4 linked regions of the Arabidopsis thaliana genome follow. The protein of the gene in region 3 interacts with the protein of the main gene of each other region in a biochemical or structural test. Each region holds a gene or a part of one and is shown on either strand. Other genes may lie near its edges. The genes, in order: UBA2A, AT5G08450, SUMO1 and SCE1.

What was found.
Region 1: the proteins of SUMO1 (region 3) and UBA2A form a complex in vitro, tested with the Arabidopsis thaliana proteins (one study listed by BioGRID).
Region 2: the proteins of SUMO1 (region 3) and AT5G08450 form a complex in vitro, tested with the Arabidopsis thaliana proteins (one study listed by BioGRID).
Region 4: the proteins of SUMO1 (region 3) and SCE1 form a complex in vitro, tested with the Arabidopsis thaliana proteins (one study listed by BioGRID).

What each region holds. Positions count from the first base shown.
Region 1 is NC_003074.8:21,048,202-21,053,934, forward strand, and holds UBA2A (UBP1-associated protein 2A), read right to left. Parts: upstream 4,120-5,733; 5' UTR 3,944-4,119; coding exon 2,507-3,943; 3' UTR 2,482-2,506; exon of another isoform or gene 1,554-2,481; 3' UTR 526-1,553; downstream 1-525. Other genes in the region: AT3G56870 (uncharacterized protein), read left to right, coding at 4,876-5,733. UniProt on the Arabidopsis thaliana protein: Heterogeneous nuclear ribonucleoprotein (hnRNP)-like protein that acts as a component of a complex regulating the turnover of mRNAs in the nucleus. Binds with high affinity to RNA molecules that contain U-rich sequences in 3'-UTRs.
Region 2 is NC_003076.8:2,727,100-2,734,562, reverse strand, and holds AT5G08450 (zinc finger CCCH domain protein), read left to right. Parts: upstream 1-1,637; 5' UTR 1,638-1,822; intron 1,823-1,920; exon of another isoform or gene 1,921-1,957; 5' UTR 1,958-1,990; coding exon 1,991-3,657; intron 3,658-4,101; coding exon 4,102-4,109; intron 4,110-4,535; coding exon 4,536-4,711; intron 4,712-4,890; coding exon 4,891-4,951; intron 4,952-5,034; coding exon 5,035-5,133; intron 5,134-5,275; coding exon 5,276-5,370; intron 5,371-5,500; coding exon 5,501-5,614; intron 5,615-5,750; coding exon 5,751-5,818; intron 5,819-5,956; coding exon 5,957-6,067; intron 6,068-6,142; coding exon 6,143-6,389; intron 6,390-6,482; coding exon 6,483-6,593; 3' UTR 6,594-6,950; downstream 6,951-7,463. Other genes in the region: AT5G08460 (GDSL-like Lipase/Acylhydrolase superfamily protein), read right to left, coding at 1-227, 731-858, 1,043-1,343.
Region 3 is NC_003075.7:13,495,699-13,499,345, reverse strand, and holds SUMO1 (small ubiquitin-like modifier 1), read right to left. Parts: upstream 2,060-3,647; 5' UTR 1,881-2,059; coding exon 1,806-1,880; intron 1,197-1,805; coding exon 1,047-1,196; intron 966-1,046; coding exon 888-965; 3' UTR 526-887; downstream 1-525. Other genes in the region: VTC2 (GDP-L-galactose phosphorylase 1), read left to right, coding at 1-84; AT4G26830 (O-Glycosyl hydrolases family 17 protein), read left to right, coding at 2,947-3,647. UniProt on the Arabidopsis thaliana protein: Ubiquitin-like protein which can be covalently attached to target lysines as a monomer. Does not seem to be involved in protein degradation and may function as an antagonist of ubiquitin in the degradation process.
Region 4 is NC_003074.8:21,427,961-21,432,071, forward strand, and holds SCE1 (sumo conjugation enzyme 1), read right to left. Parts: upstream 2,439-4,111; 5' UTR 2,151-2,438; coding exon 2,082-2,150; intron 1,956-2,081; coding exon 1,872-1,955; intron 1,385-1,871; coding exon 1,232-1,384; intron 1,140-1,231; coding exon 1,026-1,139; intron 934-1,025; coding exon 871-933; 3' UTR 536-870; downstream 1-535. Other genes in the region: AT3G57880 (Calcium-dependent lipid-binding (CaLB domain) plant phosphoribosyltransferase family protein), read right to left, coding at 3,238-4,111. UniProt on the Arabidopsis thaliana protein: SUMO-conjugating enzyme that accepts the SUMO proteins from the E1 SUMO-activating heterodimer SAE1/SAE2 and catalyzes its covalent attachment to other proteins with the E3 SUMO ligases SIZ1 and MMS21.

The sequences.
Region 1 (5,733 bases), on a different chromosome or scaffold from region 3:
TACTAAACATGGAAATCGCAACACAAGGACAATCAAACTCTTGCGAGGTACAGACTTTTCGAAGAAGAAGAATAAATCAAAAACTTAAGCAAGAGAAAAAGCAACAATCTTTTGGAGCTTAAAAAGGACCAGATCTAAAACATGGCAAGTTTGGGTTTTTCTTTCTCAAAAGAGAAACGAAACTATGATAAGTGCAGAGACAGATTTACAAAGCAAACCTAAACTCTGTGTCTGTGTGTGTCTGAGTCTCTCTCTCTCTCTTCGTTTTGTTTTCGCGCAGGAGAGGAAAAAAGAGAAGAGAGAGAAAACCTTTTGATTGAGAAAGTGACACTCGATACTGTGGCAATGCCCCCCTCTCAAGCCTCCTGTGGAATTTTCAATGCGTTTCTTCTTTTTTTAGTTGCCCAAAAATGGTTTCTCAAACTTTCGATCAAAATAAGAAACAGAGGTTTGTTTAAACACTTAATGATTAGTGATTAACTTAAATGAAGGTGGAATCAATAAACACTACATGTGCTCGGAGACCCTTCATTCATTTAGCTTCAATGGGAATTTAGGTAGATTGATTATCAAACTTTAATCAGAAAAGGTTATACATATACATGTTTATGTTCTTTGGCTCTCAACACTAATCCTCATGCCTATGAGTTTCTCTTTAAATGGTAAGTGATTACTATAAATTAATCTGCAATCATGTTAAACCATTTTTAGGCAATAATTTACATGTATTTTTTTGCAATATTGAAATCTCAAACCTTTAATTATACTTTCTATTATCCAATCTCAGATTGGGTTTTATGAACATTGAATGTGGCTTTGAAGAATATTGCATCTTGGATTCTCTTCATCAATGAAGGACCTTTTTCCCTTTTCGAAACTTGACATAACAATTGAGAGATTGTTGACTTGAGATCAAATACACAAAACTCTACTACTTACTTCCCCCAATTCCACTTCAGCTTCATATTCTGCTTCTCTTCTTCATCATCAATGAACCCTTCTACTATGTATCATCATCATAAATAATATTCAAAGCTGCACTTTTCCAAAAAGAGATTTCACCATCAAAGCAATCATCACCAAAAAAACTTTATGCATTCACGCCTTTATAAACTCCTCTGAAACATTAAGGGAAATAATATATCACCTCGTACTCTTGTGACTTTTCTAATAATCCCTGAACCTTGTGCACAAGGACCTGAAGGTACATGCTCTCTAGACCAAAACCAACTTTTATCACTTCAAAGAGGGACTAGGACCAATAAACAAGAACATATATAGGCAAGAGATTCGCACTGAGAGATATACTTTTAACACTTTTGATTACTTACCCTTCAATTGGAAGCACGTTGTATATAGCCAAAGAAGATACTCAACACTTTGAACTTACCTTTTAGTTGCAAGCATGTTGTGGAGATCCAAAGACTTAACTGCCTGTTGTCGAGAAACTCTATTCGATAGCTTCCACTTTTCAAATATTGAGAAATTGCCTCAGAAAGATCATTCTTCAGCTGTGTCGTTGAGAAGCTTGCACCACTTCCCACCAAGTTTGACTGTTCCAAGTTGGCTGCAACTTAGTAATTTTATGACAAATAAGTTTGGAAACAAAGTTCTAATTTGAAATAGTCATTGTAAAAACTTTTGAAACTTGTCATAGAAAATCCAAAAACACAAGTGAGAGAGCTCTGCTGCATTTTAAAATTCCAAGTTTTGATCATTTCAGAACCAATTGCATTCAGATTAGTATATGTGTGCTAAAGAAATTTCATTGACAGTTAGGGGTACATAATCTGGCTGTTCAACCGCAGTCAATTACCTGCAAGAGGAATAATTGAACAAACATAAAATCAGGATAGTACATAAAGCCAGGTTAATCAAGATAACTTGGTACAAAATACACTGCAGGCAGAAAAACACATGAAATCGTAAAACAGAGAAGTCAATAAAAACTATTTAGGAAAAACTAGAGTTCGATAAGCAAAGACCCACATGGAGCGTAGTTGCGCTTTTTTAGTTTTACAAATGAAAGTCTAAGGGGGATATTCAGAAAACTGAAAAAATAGAGACATAAACACTGAAAATAGTAGTACAAAGTTTTTTTTAGGAATTTCATAAAGAGAGTTTGGGAAAAACAAGTAGATGAAAACTAAAACTCCTTAAAAGGTTTTTTATGAGTTTGGCCTTAGGAGTGACCAAAGAGTAACATTTCATAAAGACTTCATTTAGCATCAGCTCCTTATAAACTTGAGAAGAATCACCAGGCCAATATTAAAACACTGATTTCTGATATCTGCACAATGAATTTAAGAAAATAAGAGAAGTAACATGCTTTAACAACCGTTGCAAAATCCCCCAAAACTCCAATGCAAACAAAAACCATGTGGATATACACAGAAACTTCTTGTCTTCAGACATCAGTAAGTTAATATATACTGAGGAAAGACATTTCAACAATTAAACAAGGGAAATTCATTGCTCTACCTGAGTGGATGGATACATGATACATTTAGTGACCCATGTAAGGAGTACCGTATGGCCCGACACCATGTTGCCCTCTACTTGTACCGCCTTGACCAGGTTGCGGAGTCTGATAACCGCCTTGCAACCCAGGTTGTGTACCGTACCCAGGCATTGTCCCCGGTGCCATAGCTTGAGTACCGTAACCAGTTGGCATTCCAACTCCATTCCCTGGGTTTACACCAGCAGCTGTCCCCAAGGAACCCAACAAAGCCTGTCCAATTGCCGGATTAAAAGCCAAACCAGCTCCCTGAGATGCCAATAAAGCTGTCAAGGCCTGTCCAATGGCCGGGTTTATCACCTGTGCCGTTGGACCACCCATCCCAGCTGGGTTACCAGCCATGAGATGTCCATGACCTCCAGGCGGACCATAACCATTGTTATCATTCCTTTGGTAACGAGGATTGTTATAGGCGTGTGGGTTATGGTGATGCTGCTGCTGCTTGCCCGGTTTGGGACCATCGATAGCTTTCTGGCAATGCAAGATATGGCCTTCAAAAGTCTTGTGTGGCTCCTCCAAAGCCCTCTTGGCGCTTTCAGACGACTTATAAACAAAGAGACAGAAACCTTTAGGTCTCCCAGTATACTTATCAAGACCCAAAGGACCTTCTTCAATTTCTCCAAACTTTGAGAAAAACATCAGCAACTTCTGTGGATCAAGCTCTGCTCCGACATTACTAACATAAATCTTTTTCTGAGTATGCTCCGAGTTCGAATGCTGAGCAGGCGCTGAAACAGCTGCAGCAGCGATAGGAGCTCCACCAAAGACAGGTCCTTTAGAAGCCAATTGGCATGCCGTCATACGACTACCAATCTTCTTCTGAGGCTGCTTGAGTGCGTTGCGAGCACCTGAACGAGACTTGTACAGAATAAAGCCATAACCTTTAGATTTCCCTGAGATCTTATCAAACACAGCCTTGCAATCTTCGATCTCTCCGTACTGCTTAAAAGCTTCAATAAGCGTCTCTGTTTTCGTATCCCAACCAAGACCGTGCACAAAGATCTTCCGATGAACAGGGTCCTCATCAGCTACTTCCCTAATTCGATTGGCTACATCAACATGCTTCTCCGCTGCTTCCTTAAGAAGACTCAAAACTTGCTCCTTTGAAAATGGTTCCAACAGATCCTGAATTGGTTCATCGTCATCATCTTCTTGATTGCCAGATCCAGACGTCGCCGCCGCCTCTATACGATTCCCATCCGTCTGATCCTCATTCTCATCACCATCATCTTCATCGTCATCATCTTCTACTTCTTCTTCTTGCTCTTCCTCTACTTCCTCGTATTCAACTTCTTCAACGTCTCCTTGATTATCCTGATTTTTAATTACAAGCTGCTGCTCCTCCTCCGGCGTCTGCTTCAGCTTCTGCGACGGTTCTTCAGCTTCGTTAGATTCTTCTCCTTCGAGCTTTCTCTTCTTTGTCATTTTCGAATTCTAATGGAGATTTTAGGGTTTCGAATGTTTTCTTTGGTTTCTTCTCCAAAAAGCTGATTTTCCCCTCCTTATCTATAATGCGCCGCTATGTGGGTGGTATATCATCAACCTCAAGTCTTTGCTAAGTGGATTTTTACACATTTACCCCTAACCATTTTATATATATAAGCCCATTAATGATTATTGGGCTTTAAGTTTAAAGACCCATTTACGAAAAGATGCTTAAGTAAGAAAAAAAGAATAACGTCAAAGTTCCCGCCATGTGTTTCCCGCGAGACTTGACGGCTCATAAGATTAGTCAGAACTCAGAAGACAAGACAACCAAAGAAAAGGTTTCGCCTCCCTTCTTACAAAGAGCTGCAATTTTCAGTCTCTTGGTCTTCTTCTTCGTCTTGTTTTCAAATTAATGTCTCTCTGTCTCTTTAGTGAACCCTAGATCCAGAAATTAGAGTTTGGAGCCCAGGATTCGGCATTCATTTCCCTTCTCTATCCAATTAAGCGTTGATTAAGACTTAAGGTAAATTCAATGTCCTAGATTCAATTTCTCTTTGATTCATTCATCTACTTTACCCAGATCTGCTCTTTACCATTCTCGAATCGATACAGCTACAAAAAAAATTGATGTAGCGAAATTAGGGTTTTCGCCGCCCATTGTGAATTTCATTTTTTAATTTGCATGTCCTTTTTCGTGGTCAGATTTGTGCAATTGATTTTCTAAGAAAAGAGTTTTGGTTTCAAATTGTGTTTAGTAGCTAATTGATGTTCGTTTCTCTGATTGGCTTAATGAAATTTAGGATTCTGGTTTATTGTTGTTAGCACTTAGCAGTATCCTTACCGGTAATTCCTTTGTTTGTTTCAATCCAGGAGCGCGGGGATTATACGAGCTTAATCAGTTGTTAGCAAGTAATTATCTGATAGTTACAATGGTGGAGTTAAGAAGTAGCACACACTTGAACTCTCATGTACATTATATCCGAACCATTAAAGACGGATCTATCAAAATAGTGATGAATATGGATGGCAGAAGAAAACCAAAGCTCAAATTTAGACAGTTGGTGGATATATACAATCTTGAAGACAGTCAAGGTGTTGAGTCAATTCCAAGAGTAGTCAGGGATTTGGACAATGGTTCTGATTTTACACAAGGTTCTGAGTCTGAAGATTTTAGCATGACAACATTGGAGATGATTCAGAAACAATGCAAAGAAAGGAAAAGGAAACTTAGAAACTGCAGAGATACTACTACTGAGACATTCTCGAACGTTGAAGTTAAAAAAGAGTATGTGACCCAAGATGAAGGATGTGATATTGAGGAGCCTCTTAGCAGTTGGGATACGAAATTCTCCAAGAGAAGGAAGAAGAAGCAGGAGCGTAAAAAAGCAAAGTGTGGTACTTCTACTTCCTCTCCTCCATCTGTGGAAAAGGTTGATTTGCCGTTGGTGCTCTTTCATGTCAAGCCTGAAGTTTGGGATGATAGCTATTCAGTTTCTGAAGCCATGGATTGTAGTGAAAAGTCAGAATCTCCTATAAATACAGTGTTGGTGGAAGAAATAATGCTTGATTCGTCCAGTGACATGAGGCTGGTTCCATACTGCAGTGCAGAGCCAAATTTTCCCGGAGTGGTAGCCATTGAGGAAGCTTTTGAAGATGCATCAGAAGAGTTTAGCGATGCTGATTTTCAGAATAAGCAAATTGTTTTGTACTCTAGTGTGTCTAGAGAGGAGATGGAATTGGATGTTAATCCACAACATTCAGAATATGAGAACATTGGTTGTGTAAAG
Region 2 (7,463 bases), on a different chromosome or scaffold from region 3:
AAGTTGGAGAGAAGGAGGTCGGCGAAAGAAGTAGGGTCGTAAATAGAGCTTGAGAGGAATAGCCTTGGTTTCAGATAATTGTTAATGTAGTCATTGTTACCCAATGACACCACCACCAATGACTTTGCCATATATTCCTTCACTGACTCTTTCCTCATGCTCCTACTTATCTCCATTAATGTCTTCTCGAAGTTCTCCACTTGTCTTCCCATGCTAAATCTCTCTCCCTTCATCCATGCATGCATGCAAGAATGCAACCCCATTTATTATAGTCTTTTTTTTGGGGTTATTAAATACTCATGTCTCGTAGGCAAAAGTTTTTCATGCACCCTATCAAAGTCACTCGACATTAAATAACCTCCCGTGATTCAAATGTGGCTACTTCTATTGGTTAAAGGACGACTGTTCCGGCGGACTTTATGCACCCCAAATTCACTTTTTTATTTTTTTATTTTTTTTACTTAGCGAAAGATAACTTTCAATTTTCAATATCGAAAACCGTATGCTTATTAACAAAAAAGCATAGTACAATTCAATTTTCGGTTTCAGTTTTGGATATTTCGAACTTGGATTCTTTATATGAACATAAGCAATCGATTAGACCAATTTCGTTAAACAAAGTTTTTGATATGAACTAACATGGTAAAAAAAAAGAAACATATCCTATATAACCAAAAAATGTTTTGAACAATAAAAATAGACATTTAGAAAGAAAAAAAAGAAGAAGTACCAGATGGCGACCGGTTTCCTCTAAGATTCCTCCGGCAGCTGAGGCATAGTTCACACCATGGAGAATATCCACTCCTCCGTCAACCGTGTCCATAAACGCCGGTATCTCCGGCAGCCCTAGCAACTCTCCTGCAACCATCCACATCCATCCCCATGATCATGTTAATTAATTAATTGCTAACCCAAAACAAACTAAAAAATTAACAAAACAAAAAAAAAAAGTAAAAGGGTGAATCTCTTGTGCAAATTAAATTTATGCATGCACTGATTTCAAAACCAAATGCATGTAGAGACCGATATGTAAAATATGTACCAATGAAATCGACGATAGTTTTGCCGTTAGAGAAGCGACCGGTTGGTTGATTTCCAGCGAAATCGATGCCGTAAGGGAGATAGTTGGACCTAGCCAGTGAGTTCAAGTGGTTATTGTTTCCGTTATCCACCAAAGAGTCTCCGAACACAAACATCGCCGGAAACATTGCCGTCGTCTCGGATGAGTCTTCTCCACCGGCGAGTACAAATACTACTAGAAACCATGGAACAAGTACTAATGTTTGAACTGTGCAAGACATCATCATCATGTCTTTAAACTTGAATATTTCACTATCATGCATGGTCGCTTGAGATATATAAATACCAAGGTGATATGACTCCTTCCTTCGATTTATTTATTTATTATTTTATTTCGTCTCAGTGAATTTAATGAGCTCTGTTTTCCGTTGACTTTTTATTGTACTGTATAAAAAAAATTAAAAACGACAAAATCTATATCCTATGAACAATTCAATTAATAGAAAGTTTTATGGAAAAAGTGAGAGATTGAATAAGTATGAGGGCATAACGGCAATAAATAAAACCTAAATTGTGGAGACTTGTAAGAGCACGACGGTCTGTGACAAGAAGCAAATATTAACGCGAAAAATAAACATTTGTCCAAAATAAAGTAGCAAACCAAGGAGAACGGAAAATAAATTAGACTCATCAGAGAAACTCAGAGAGAGGCAAAAGTCCGAATCCAGTTTGCCATTTATTACTTCCCGGCGGCAAAATCCAAAAGGGTTTGCTTCTTCGTGCTCTGCTTCAGTTTCAATTGGTAAAAGAAATATCCTTTTTAAAAAAATCTTCGGCTCTGTGTTCATTTTAGGGATTCAATGTTTAGTCTGGTGATTCAAATTCTGTGTTTTGCTCTAGGTTGTGTATGAATTAAGTGCAATTCTATCTGTTGCAGCAGTGAATTTCTGGGTTATTGAATTTGGGAGTGATGAGTGGTGTTCCAAAGAGATCTCACGAAGAGGGTGTTACTCATCCATCTTCTTCTTCATCAGTAGCAAAATACCCTCACGAGGATTCTGGATCTTACCCTAAATCGCCGCATCAGCCTGTGACGCCACCACCGGCTCAGGTTCATCATAACCATCAACAGCCCCATCAGCATCCCCAATCTCAATCTCAATCTCAGCCTCAACCTCACCTCCAGGCGCTTCCTCACCCTCATTCTCATTCTCACTCCCATTCACCACTTGCTGCTGCTGCTTCTGCTTCTGCTCCTTATGAGGTTGAATCTAGAACGGTGGTTAAGGTTGCGAGAAGCGAGCCTAGAGATGGAGAGAGACGCTCTCCTCTGCCTCTTGTCTATCGGTCTCCGTCGCTGCCCACAACTGTTTCTTCTAGTGATCCTCATTTGACTCACGCCCCTGTGCCGATGGAGCCGAGAGATGGTGCTAAGGATGGCAGGGAAATTAGGGTTGAGAGTAGAGAAAATAGGAGTGATGGGAGAGAGATATATGGTGAGACAAAGAGGGAGATTCAGGGTCCTAAGGGAGACAGAGATGTGAAATTTGAGAGATCAGTAGATGACTTTAGCGGAAAAGGTAATACCGGAAGCTATACTAGGAATGATGGGAGAGAGATGTATGGTGAGACTAAGAGGGAGATTCAGGGTCCTAAGAGTGACAGGGATGCCAAGTTTGAGCGTCCAGGGGATGATTTTAGCGGGAAAAGTAATGCCGGTAGCTATACTAGGGATACAAAATTTGATAGGGAGAATCAAAATTATAATGAACAAAAGGGGGAGATTAAGATGGAAAAGGAAGGGCATGCTCACTTGGCTTGGAAAGAGCAGAAGGATTACCATAGAGGGAAGAGAGTTGCTGAAGGTTCGACTGCAAATGTGGACCCGTGGGTTGTATCCCGCGGTAATCCGCAAGGCCCAACTGAGGTTGGGCCTAAAGATCTCTCTGCGCCTGTGGAGGGGTCTCATTTGGAAGGACGTGAAACCGTCGGAGAAAACAAGGTTGATGCCAAAAACGAAGATAGATTTAAGGAAAAAGATAAGAAAAGAAAAGAGTTAAAGCATCGAGAATGGGGGGACCGAGACAAGGATAGAAATGACCGTCGAGTATCTGTGCTTGTTGGTAGTGTCATGAGTGAACCCAAAGAGATTGGAAGAGAAGAAAGGGAATCCGATAGGTGGGAACGGGAGAGGATGGAGCAGAAAGATCGAGAAAGAAATAAAGAGAAAGATAAAGATCATATCAAAAGAGAGCCAAGGACTGGTGCTGAGAAAGAGATCTCGCAGAACGAGAAAGAGCTGGGAGAAGCATCTGCCAAACCCTCAGAGCAGGAATATGTGGCACCAGAGCAGAAGAAGCAGAACGAACCGGATAATTGTGAAAAAGACGAAAGAGAAACAAAGGAAAAAAGGAGAGAGAGGGATGGTGATTCAGAGGCAGAAAGAGCTGAAAAGCGCAGCAGAATCAGTGAAAAAGAATCTGAAGATGGGTGTTTAGAGGGTGAAGGAGCTACCGAGAGGGAAAAGGATGCCTTCAATTATGGGGTTCAGCAGAGGAAGAGAGCGCTGAGACCGAGAGGCAGCCCACAAACCACTAATCGCGACAATGTCCGCTCACGGAGTCAGGACAACGAAGGGTGCGTCTCTCTGTCTTCCTCGTTTAATTATAATTATATGTTTCTCATTGCTTAGTAGAATCCTTTATCTTTACCATTTAGAGAGACATACCCCATTGATTAAATTTGGAGCCTATATAGTAATATCTGCAGGTGATACGATACTATATGATGAAGGGGCCATTATTGTTGAATATCTTATTACCATTATTGTTTTTCCTCTTAAAAGATAAAAAGCCTTTAAATAAAATTCTGCAATCATATGTGTATTATGTAGTGTCTTATCTCTGAAAACCAAATTTGATTTTTCTCTGGATTCCTCTCCGCTCCTTTTCTATCTGTGTTAAGAATATTATGTCTTTTATTACGTAAGTTAGGTATTAGCTAAGCTCAAGACTTTTGTTTTTGTAATTACTGGCCTGGCTTGTAATGTATCATCCGTTTTTGATTGTGTTTATTTTGCAGAGTACAAGGTAATCATTCATTTCTATATCCTCAAGAAAGGATCAAGTTGCACTGCTTGGAGAACAATAGTAAAAAAAAACCGGTTATGACATTTTTCTTTTACATATCACTGAAATGGTCATCTACGAACACACATGCACTTGATAAGCAATCTATTTTGAGATTTTCTTCTTATGGTCGTCCTTAGGTTACTGTTCTTTACTCTCACAGTAGAATGTCAAATATATAAAGAACCTCAAGATCTAAAAATATGGACCTAATAGTCGATGTGATCCTTAATGCTACTTGAGATTTTGGCTGCTAAAAGTTACTTACTGCCCTGGCTTTTTTTTTAACTTTTATCATTTTTCTGTTTCTTTTATTTTCTACACAATTTGAATCCCTTTGCACTTCATAATTTGATCTTGTTGAATTTTATTGTACTGATGATTCAGGCAAGTCAGAGGTGTCGATTGTTGTTTACAAAGTTGGCGAATGTATGCAAGAACTGATTAAGTTGTGGAAAGAATATGATTTGTCTCATCCTGATAAAAGCGGTGATTTCGCTAATAATGGCCCCACTCTTGAAGTTAGGATTCCAGCTGAGCATGTTACTGCTACAAATCGCCAAGTAAGTCGAATATATATCCAAATTTTTCTCATAATCATTTTCATTGTTTTTCTTCTAGATGACTTGGTGCATATAGTTTTAGTTCCAGTCTTTTGATCTGTTTAATTCACTTCGCCTATTAATTTGAGAAACACAGCTCCCTTGTTTGTTACTTGCTGAGACATTTGGCTCGTGTGCAGGTAAGAGGTGGCCAACTATGGGGAACAGATATATACACAGACGATTCCGATCTTGTTGCTGGTATGTACCCTAATGAATCTTATGCAATTATTATCTTTGTTTGGCCCGAACATGACATTGATTCTGGTCTACCTGTCATCTAGTTCTCATGCATACAGGTTACTGTCGTCCCACAGCTTCTCCTCCTCCACCGACAATGCAAGAGCTGCGCACTACTATTAGAGTCTTGCCGTCACAAGATTGTAAGTTAGCTTACCTCTGTCTTGCTTTTGATTCCTTTAACTGACTGTTGCATGTGAACTTCATACTATGTTGAGCTCTTCTCTGCTTTATATCAAGGAAGAATCTTTATCAAACTTCCAACTTAACTGATATATTTGTTAGACTACACCTCCAAGCTAAGGAACAATGTCCGTTCTCGAGCATGGGGAGCTGGAATCGGATGCAGTTATAGAGTTGAGCGGTGCTATATACTGAAGGTGATTTGACATGTGCCATTATGTGTCTTTCTAATTTCCTTGATTATCTTCTCCCACTATGTGCGTAATATCTAGTTTTAAGTGAATTTGTGTAAAACTCCTTATGGAAATTCTGATGATATGATTCCAGAAAGGAGGTGGGACTATTGAACTGGAACCTTCCCTTACACACTCCTCAACTGTGGAGCCAACTCTTGCACCAATGGCTGTTGAAAGATCTATGACCACCAGAGCTGCAGCTTCGGTATTTTCCTTCCACTTTGGAAATATCTGCTCTCTTAATCTTCTTACAACTCTTGGATTATTACACATGGCGGCTTGCATAGTTTTCTCATATTTCATATCTTTCGAACACTGACGACTTATTTACTGTTCTGTAGAATGCTCTGCGGCAACAAAGGTTTGTACGAGAAGTCACAATACAATACAATCTCTGCAATGAACCTTGGTAACTCTCTGTCAATAATCTCCAAATACTTCAAAAATTGTTCACAGAATTTCCTAAATTTATCAGAAATCTTTGTCACCTAAAAGTTATCAGACGCAAGGGTCAGTTTTACTTACGCATCGATCTACTTGTCTGCAGGATTAAATATAGCATAAGCATTGTTGCTGATAAAGGTCTCAAGAAGCCTCTTTTCACCTCTGCCCGCTTGAAGAAAGGGGAAGTTTTGTACTTAGAAACTCATTCATGCAGGTATGCACATCACATGTTTCTTTTATCTGACATTAATGACATAAGACGCTGAATCTAATCTGTGTATGCAAAAAGGTATGAGCTCTGTTTCGCAGGAGAGAAGACCATCAAAGCAATCCAAGCCTCACAACAACAATCATCACATGAAGCTATGGAGACAGATAATAATAATAACAAGTCACAGAACCATCTGACAAACGGTGACAAAACAGATTCAGACAACAGTTTAATTGATGTTTTCCGCTGGTCACGATGTAAGAAACCTCTCCCACAGAAGCTTATGCGGTCTATCGGGTTTCCACTCCCAGCAGATCATATCGAGGTTAACATTTTTCTCCAATTTGACTCTTCTTGTTTTGAAAATTCTTTATAAAACAAATGCTGATGATGTGTTGTGGATTTTGGAATGGAGTAGGTGTTGGAGGAGAATCTTGATTGGGAAGATGTACAGTGGTCACAAACTGGTGTTTGGATTGCTGGAAAAGAGTACACTCTTGCTCGTGTTCATTTTCTCTCCCCCAACTAAAAAAAACCTTTCATGCTTTGCTTCTATCTTACAAAACTTTTTATATTTTATTTATGGATTAGAGACTACAGTTACTTTGGCCTATCTTGTCTTGTGTACTTCTTCCTTGTAACATTTATTTATATATCGTCAGAAACATCCTTGGCACACCTCAACTTGCCACCTAACTTCTTCAGCACTAGAGGTATACACTCGGCCATCTGCCCAGGTTCCCTTTTCGAGAATCAAAAAAAGATTGTGCATATCTCTGATTCCAGCATCAAAATCCTCCCAAGCCGTCCTGATCAAACCCCATTGGACTGACTTGCCACCAATATGATATACTCCATTCTTTGGTTTGATATTTCTCGAGGAGACATGATGGATAACCAAAGCAGCCTTTCCCCCACGGGACTACCAATTTTCGGGCCGCTTTTAACACTTCTCCATAACTTCAAGCCGAACTGCAACACACTAGAATTTCATCATGCAGCAAGAACATCAACATATAGCGAGAGCTCACTCCTAGTTGCATAACCTCCTCTCTAAGCTCCTTTTTATACTTAGCCCGTTCAGGCCCGCGGGCTGCTAGCCCACTTTAACATCACATATGCCATCAGTGAACATCACATATGTTGGGCTTTGTTAGCTTTGTATGATGTGGTTCAATGAACATCACATATGCCAAAGACGGCATTTTGGTAATTACATGTTGACTTAGAATATAGAATGGCTTCTCTTTAGAAATGATTTCATTTCATCTTCTTCTGAAAACCGACATTTGTAATGAAATGTAAAGTGGAACTCAGATCAACAAAAGATTTGGTTTATTACTACTTTTTTTTTTGCTCATATTTTTTTTTTCATATACTGAAATTGATTGAATAGTTT
Region 3 (3,647 bases):
GGCAATGTTAACCAGAAAAGCAACAGAACCCATGGAGGTCCGATCACAAATGGGACGGCCGCCGAGTGCCTTGTCCTTCAGTGAACAATATGGTGACTTGGTGGTTTGTATGTATAATTAAAAGCCTAAATAAGCAAACTCTCTTTGTAGTTGCATTTGAAGCTTCTTGGTTTATGTATGATGGTTGTGGGCATTTTGTGCCTAGACTTCTGGTTCTTTGTTTTTTGTTATGAGTTGGTGTTTATGAATTATATATGTTCTTCACTAATATGATTATTATTTGTATAGATTTGATTATTCAAAGGATATGTCTTAAGAAGGGGTTCAGGTTCAGCCAACTAATTACTTGTAACCAAGTCTTTCTACCATCAACAACCATGTTAAGATTCAGACACTTAGTTTTTACAGCTCGAGACTCGAGAGAGAGTAATAATACTGATTATTGTCTTGTCTATAACCACCACAAGCTCTGGTTATGAAGTCGTCCTCTATAGACTATAATTCACTAACTCGATGCTAGTTCATGTTTAAGTAATATTTTGTTTAGTTGACTAGATGGATTTTATCTTTGCTCGCCATTAGCTCAATGAGCTACGTATATGTTAAGAGTCACACTTTCAATAATTAATAGCTTTTTACCGTTACCATACCAACAAACTTTAGATAATTGGGTTAATAACACCTTTAAGCCGAAATAGTAGTATCATAGGATCCGATACCAAACGAACAAGACAAAAAATCAACCAAAGGGTTCTTTAACCTTCGTGACCATAATAACTTAGTTTCTAAAGAGAATGGTCACGATAAAAAAACAAGTCTGCAAATCCTAATGCCGATTACTCCTTAACCATTCATATCACACACAAGCCCTAAACCTGGACGAAGTGTCAGGCCGTAGCACCACCACCGCTGCCACCAGTCTGATGGAGCATCGCATCGATCTCATCACCATCCTCCATGTCAAGCTGTAGTGTCAAGAATTATTAGTATCAGAAACTATAAACTTCAAAAGGTAAGAAATAAAGCATGTAGAATGAATGTTATACCTCATCGGGAGTTTGCTCAGCACGAAGACGACGCCCATCAAACAAGAAAGCAATGGAGTTCATGTCCACAGATTGCCGGTCACAGTAAGCATTCATCAGCTTCTTGAGCTGAGTGCTTCTCTTGATCCTAAAGAAAACCTCGTTTCCATCCTATAAAACAAACATATAGAAGGAACAATAAACGTTAGAGACCGCATATGAAACAATAACTAAATCACATGGCTCTCTTTTGGTAGTAACCTGAAAGAGTCGAAAAATTAAACACATATCAACAAACATTCAGTTTAAGGCTTCGTCTATGAGAATTTGAAGCACAAACATCAGCCAAACTAATTGAAAACTTAGTACAGAGACTACAACTTCATCAGAAGATATATAACAACTTAGTACAGAGACAGCATCGTTCACAGTCTTTAGAACATTCAACAACTAAGTAAACTTATCCCTTCCAAAACTATAAAACCCTCAAACAACAACAGGAACCAAAAGCTCAATAACAACTTACACCTAAACAAGACTTATATAATTTCAGAAATTTGATAAACAATTAGCAAAAACAAGCAAACGTGTAAACATAAAGCAGGATACTTTAAACCTGTAAAACAAAAGAGGAAGAAGACCATTAAGACTGAGCTAGTAGTACGAAACCCTAAAATTAAACCAAATTGGAGAATGAAAAACCCTAATCGCAGCTACACGAAATCAGAAACCCAAACATTCACAAGAACACACAAGGATGAGAAGGAGAAAGAGAGATACCTGTCCCTTGACTTTGAGATTGATGTGAGCTCCTCCGTCTCCTGGCTTCTTGTCTTCCTCCTGGTTTGCAGACATCGTGAAAGGTTCTCCGTCCGGTTACAAAAACACGAAATTTGAGAGAACGATGAGAGATTCACACAATCAAAGAATGATGCTGAGAGATGAATATAAAAAGACTGACTCTGAAAATCTCTCTAATTGGCCGTGGCTTTTGTACTTGGACGCATCGGATTCCTCTCTATCATAAATCGTAGGGCATCTATCCAACGGTTCATATTCTCTCTAGGTTCTCTTTTAATCCAACGGCTGCTAGTTATGTTCAAATCTGTCGTTTCGTTATAATGGGCTTATATTTTTATTGGGCCACATCTAACCCACTAGACAATTTCATTTGGTTAAATATTTTAGGTTGCAGTTCCTGATCTCACGTGACGTGAGTCCTCCTATCCACCACTCTCCATGATTTCATCATCTGTTGAAGACTTGACAATTTGACATAGAAGAAATAAATAAATTGTTAAATCTATAAATCATGTCACTTTGTGTATTAACAAAAAGATTAGTTGAAGGAGATAAAGTCTGTCACACACTCTTCACAAAAGAAAGAAATGATGATGAATTAACGAAATATGCGCAATGCAACATATAAAGAACCTAGGTCTTGACTCTTGTTTAAGAAACAATAAAAGTCAAGGTTTTTGTTAGGTTTCTGTTATAACCAAAATCAACTATGAAAACATTCATATGTTAGAAAAACATCAAAATTATAGAGAGTTCCTTTAACTGAAGATTATGGTAAAGTAAAACTTTTTGCTATAAATAGAGCTTTAAAATTATACAGTTTTAGTTAAATCTATTATTTCAGCTATTCTTCCGTGTTATTAGTTATCCCACAACCCCCACTTGGCACTTGTTTACACCTAAATCGTATAAATACTGTAGACCAGCTCCGTCCCAAACGCAACAAAAACTTTCCTTCGTCTCCATAACTATCAAACGACACTCATCTATGCGTTTAATGCTCTGTTTCTGAAGATACACTCGAGAATAACCATGGCCGTTTCTTTCTTACCTTATTTTCTGATTCTTTCCTTCCTCTCAGCCATTGACGCACGTTAGTTTTTAATCTCTTCATATACCTATGTCTGTCTCTGTATTTGCCGTGTCTACTACGTTGTTCTTATTTTGCGTTTTTTTTGTTTTTGTTTCCACAGATTCTGGAATGGTCGGAGTCAATTATGGTCGGATAGCTAACAATCTCCCGTCGCCGGAGAAAGTAGTGAACCTCCTGAAATCTCAAGGAATCAACCGTATCAAAATCTTCGACACCGATAAGAATGTACTAACCGCACTTGCAAATTCCAAAATCAAAGTAATCGTCGCTCTCCCTAACGAGCTTCTCTCCTCCGCCGCCTCCCACCAATCATTCGCCGACAACTGGATTAAAACCCACATAATGCCATACTTCCCAGCGACGGAGATCGAAGCTATCGCCGTCGGTAACGAAGTATTCGTCGATCCGACGATCACGCCGTATCTTGTCAATGCGATGAAGAACATTCACACCTCTCTGGTTAAGTATAAACTCGACAAAGCCATCAAGATCTCGTCTCCTATTGCTCTTAGCGCGCTTGCTAATTCGTACCCGCCTTCCTCTGGTTCTTTTAAACCGGAATTAATCGAACCGGTTGTTAAACCAATGCTTGCTCTGCTTCAACAAACGTCGTCGTATCTTATGGTAAATGCTTATCCGTTTTTCGCTTACGCAGCAAACGCCGATAAAATCTCTTTAGACTACGCTCTGTTTAAAGAAAACGCCGGGAATATAGATTCCGGTACCGG
Region 4 (4,111 bases), on a different chromosome or scaffold from region 3:
CTAATGACATATCTTCACAAGTTCGGTGGTTTCTTAGACTTGTATCATTTTCTGATGATTTTATTAGAAGCGTCAATCATCTTTTGACGATTTTATAGGATACTCGTTTTGGAAAATCATTGTTCTGATGATAGAATAGATCAGGAATCATCTGCTGATGATGATATCATAGGAAAGATTATAATAGTTCACACATTTCATATCTGAAGTGTCATCACTTGTAGACGATTTTGGCTTGTTGTTGACTTTCAATAATTGAGTTGTATATAAGTATTGAATGTTTGGTTTTATTGCTTTGTAACTGTTGACATACGGTGTTTGCCTATCTCTTTCTGCACACTTGATTTCGTAGCTAAATTCCAAGTTCTGTTAAATATTCCAAGCTTTCTATCTCAATCATTGACAAAAAATGTTCCAAGTAGCAAACAATTTACTAACAAGCACTAATACTACTTCAAAAGTCTAAAATCAGTGGAGTATAAATTTTAGAGGAGTAAGATTTTGACTTTCAAGTGTTAAGCGTAGTTTCAAGTTAGAAATATATGTATTTCTAGATTCACAACTAAGATTCGTTACTCTATGGAATGAAGACTTCATATTTCACTTAGTAGAATTTGGACAACACTCATGAACGACCAGAGAACATAATTATGTATTATATAGAAGCAACACCAACTGAATCAGTACCAAGAATATTAACAGTTAAATAGAGAAAGAAGAGTTTTTTTTCGAAAATAAATAGATTCCAGTGTCTTAAGGTGCCAAAATGAGGAGTTTTCAATCACCCAATGACATCTAAACATAATGACACAAGACGAGAAAATATTCAGAGCTTGTCATCAGTTTTGGTGCGTTCTCTTTTTTGAGGTTTTAGACAAGAGCAGGATACTGCTTGGACTGCAGCTTCACCCTTTTCTTGTACTCAACTGGATCCTGCACAATAATCATCAACAATCACTCGACTTAGTTCCTTCCTATGTTTCAAAACCTAATATTGTGTTTAGAGTTTTCATTTCTAAATGTACCTGACAGAAGAGATGATAACCATCTGTCTGTGCAGGGTCAGCGGGATTCGGTGTGTCAAGTAAATCCTGAATACCAACAAGAATCTGCTTCACGGTGATGGCTGGTCTCCATCCCTATGGATATACACATAACAAAAGAGAGCTTGAGGATAAAGCTGGCTTTTGCTCATGGAGAAATGCAAAGAAAGAAACAGTAGAGTACTTACATAATCCTCGTTAAGGATAGAGAGACAGACAGTTCCAGATGGATAGACATTAGGGTGGAAAAACCCTTGTGGAAATTTACATTTCGGAGGTTTGCTCGGATAATCCTCACTGAAGTGCATCGTTAATGGAAAGAATCCACCTTCCCAATCAGTCTGCAGCAGAGAAACATGTAAAATTAGCTATAAACAACAGTAAAGATTGATATTAGCAATTGCTCTTGCAGTAACACTCTTATTAGCCATGTCAAAGTAAGATACACAGCAGAGTTCAGTTTCAATGTCGTATTCAAGACCAAAATCATATGCACCAATAAAAAAACATCATACAAGATAAACAAGGAGATAGATACACAGCTACTCTTCCCACTAACATTCATATTAGATAATCTTCCACGGCTCTATGTGTAAGCAAATATGAGAGAATCATCAAACAGAATCACAAAGAAAAAGAAGGGAAGAGACTGGTGAAGCTTAAAACTTTGAAGAACTAAGAATCAGAAGATGATAAAAACAAAGACTTTAGCCCAAATCAATAAACCCTAATTTCAATCTCTTTTTTGTTGCTACTAATACAAACCAGAAGAAAACAAGCAGAGGAATAAGAAAACTGAAGAAACCTAATTTCACGATTGATACTTACCCCAGCTTTACCAGGTATAGTGCAATGCCACACCATTAGATTCACAGTTCCATCCTGCCCCGTCTCCGGCTTTGCCACAAAACCCTAAATTTCACCATCAACAAGAAGAAACCCAATCAGTAATCAGAGACCATGAACAATCAACAGAAACCCAAAACCCATAAATCAAAATCACGAATTTGGAGAAATAGAAGACACGAAATCACTTACATGAGGATGATTCTTCCTCCACGATTTCCTCTCTTCAGCTAAACGACCACGAGCGATTCCACTAGCCATATCTCTCTCTCTCTCTCTCTTTAGAATCTCACTCTACAATATCTAAATCTCTCTCTTCTGATTTGTCTCGCTCGCTCTCCAATCTCTATCTCTCTATATATAAACTCGAAGAAGACACAAATAGGAGATTGGGGGAAGATGGAATGTGAAGTTACAGATGTACCCCTATGTTAAAGCTTTAGAAGGGTAATCGGAGTATCGTACGGTCCAGATTTCGCGGCGAATAAATGTCCTTTCGTCCTACTTCCTCCACTTTAATGGTTATTGACCGGTCAATTATTAAATTTTAACCAGGTATAATTATTATCTACTATATCATAAAATAAATGAAAAGACGTAATGAAAAAGTCAATGGATAAATGTGGCGTGAAACCTACGCGATGATACCCAAAAAAGCTACCAAAAGATTCTTTCTCTGCCATAACGTATCATCCCATTTGTCACGTGGCCCATTACCATATCTGGGCCCATTTACTTTGTGTTCTTAACTCTTAAGCTTGCTTTAATTATTCCCCTCTTCTTCTTAATGGTTGGTCTTTCTAGAATAAAAGTATCTCACCTGGCAAACATTTGTCAAACAGAATGGTCGGAAAAAAAATAAAATATCAAAGCTTTCAATGAATTTTTGTGTAAGAATGTTATTTAGCGAACATATATTCCCAATATGATAGTTTTTTTGGTTATAACCAACTTTGGATGTATTAGAAAAATGGTTTTTTCTTGAAACTTGTATTTGACCATTAGACCAAACTGTGACAACCTCTAATCTCAACAGCAACCAACCCAATGGCACCAAACTCCTAAAGCTCCAGTGATAAAACACAAAAACCAGAGAGGCATAGATTATGACTTACTAACCAGTGACAAGAACATCAAAACCACACAAGATACTTCTTTACTACTTTCAAACAAAAGTCTTAATAATGTTAAAAGACAGACGGATACATCATCACCATCACCAAGAAAAGAGTCATCATGACATTTTTAACAATGAACAAACTAAAAAGAGTCATCATGATATTTTTAACAAGAACAAACTACAAGTCTTATAGAAGTTTTCTTCGGTATTGGAAGCAGTTTTTGCAGGTCAGAGCATGCAATCAGTTCTTGCAGGAAGCCTTCTGAAGAAATTGAGAGGAACGGATGGTAGTTTGTATCTGAACCTCGGATGTCTCAGAGCATAGATTCCAATACAAAGAGCCACAACCTGGAAAGGTGTCACATAGAGAATGACTGCGGCAATCAAGCAGAACAAGACGAAGAGCGCTGTTGCACGCGGATCACGCCAGCTTAGCAGAGACTGAAGCCTTTCTCCTTGAGTTGCTAGATCACCTACCACTGTCTGAATCCTACCAGCAATACTCCTCAACCTGTCATACCTCATCCTGACTATGTCAGATGGTCGGGAAGTAGGAAAAGTGTCGAACTCTTCATCTAGCTCGTCGGGGTGGGCTGAGTCAGCGTGAGAGAGACGTGTGTCCATGTGAGGAGGATGCCTCGGTCTCCAACGGTAGTACCAGATACCGATGAGGAAGAGGTAGAGGAAGATGGTGGGCAAGATTAGTTCGGGATAGAGCACAAGGATGATGAACAAGAGATGGATCAAGACTGTTGTGATTGGATTCTTCCAGTTGCAGATTTGTTCAAACCATTTTCCTACTGCGATTAACCCACTCAAAACTCCCATAATCCTGAAAAAGTTTGCTTTGCTTCTCCGCATACTCCACATGTGAGAACCCACATCAAGCATATACTCAACTACTTCTTTCCTTAGAGGTGGTTCTGCTCGGGTCAGCCTCATCGATACAATCTGAGTCGCTTGATGCCTCAAGTTATCAAGCTGGCTAACCGTCAGTGGATGGATATAATGCATCTTCGGTAAGAGAGGCTGTGAGTACATATACATCATGTTGAGCAATGAAGAGCAAGTGAATCTCACAGCTAAGTGAATTTCTCCCATT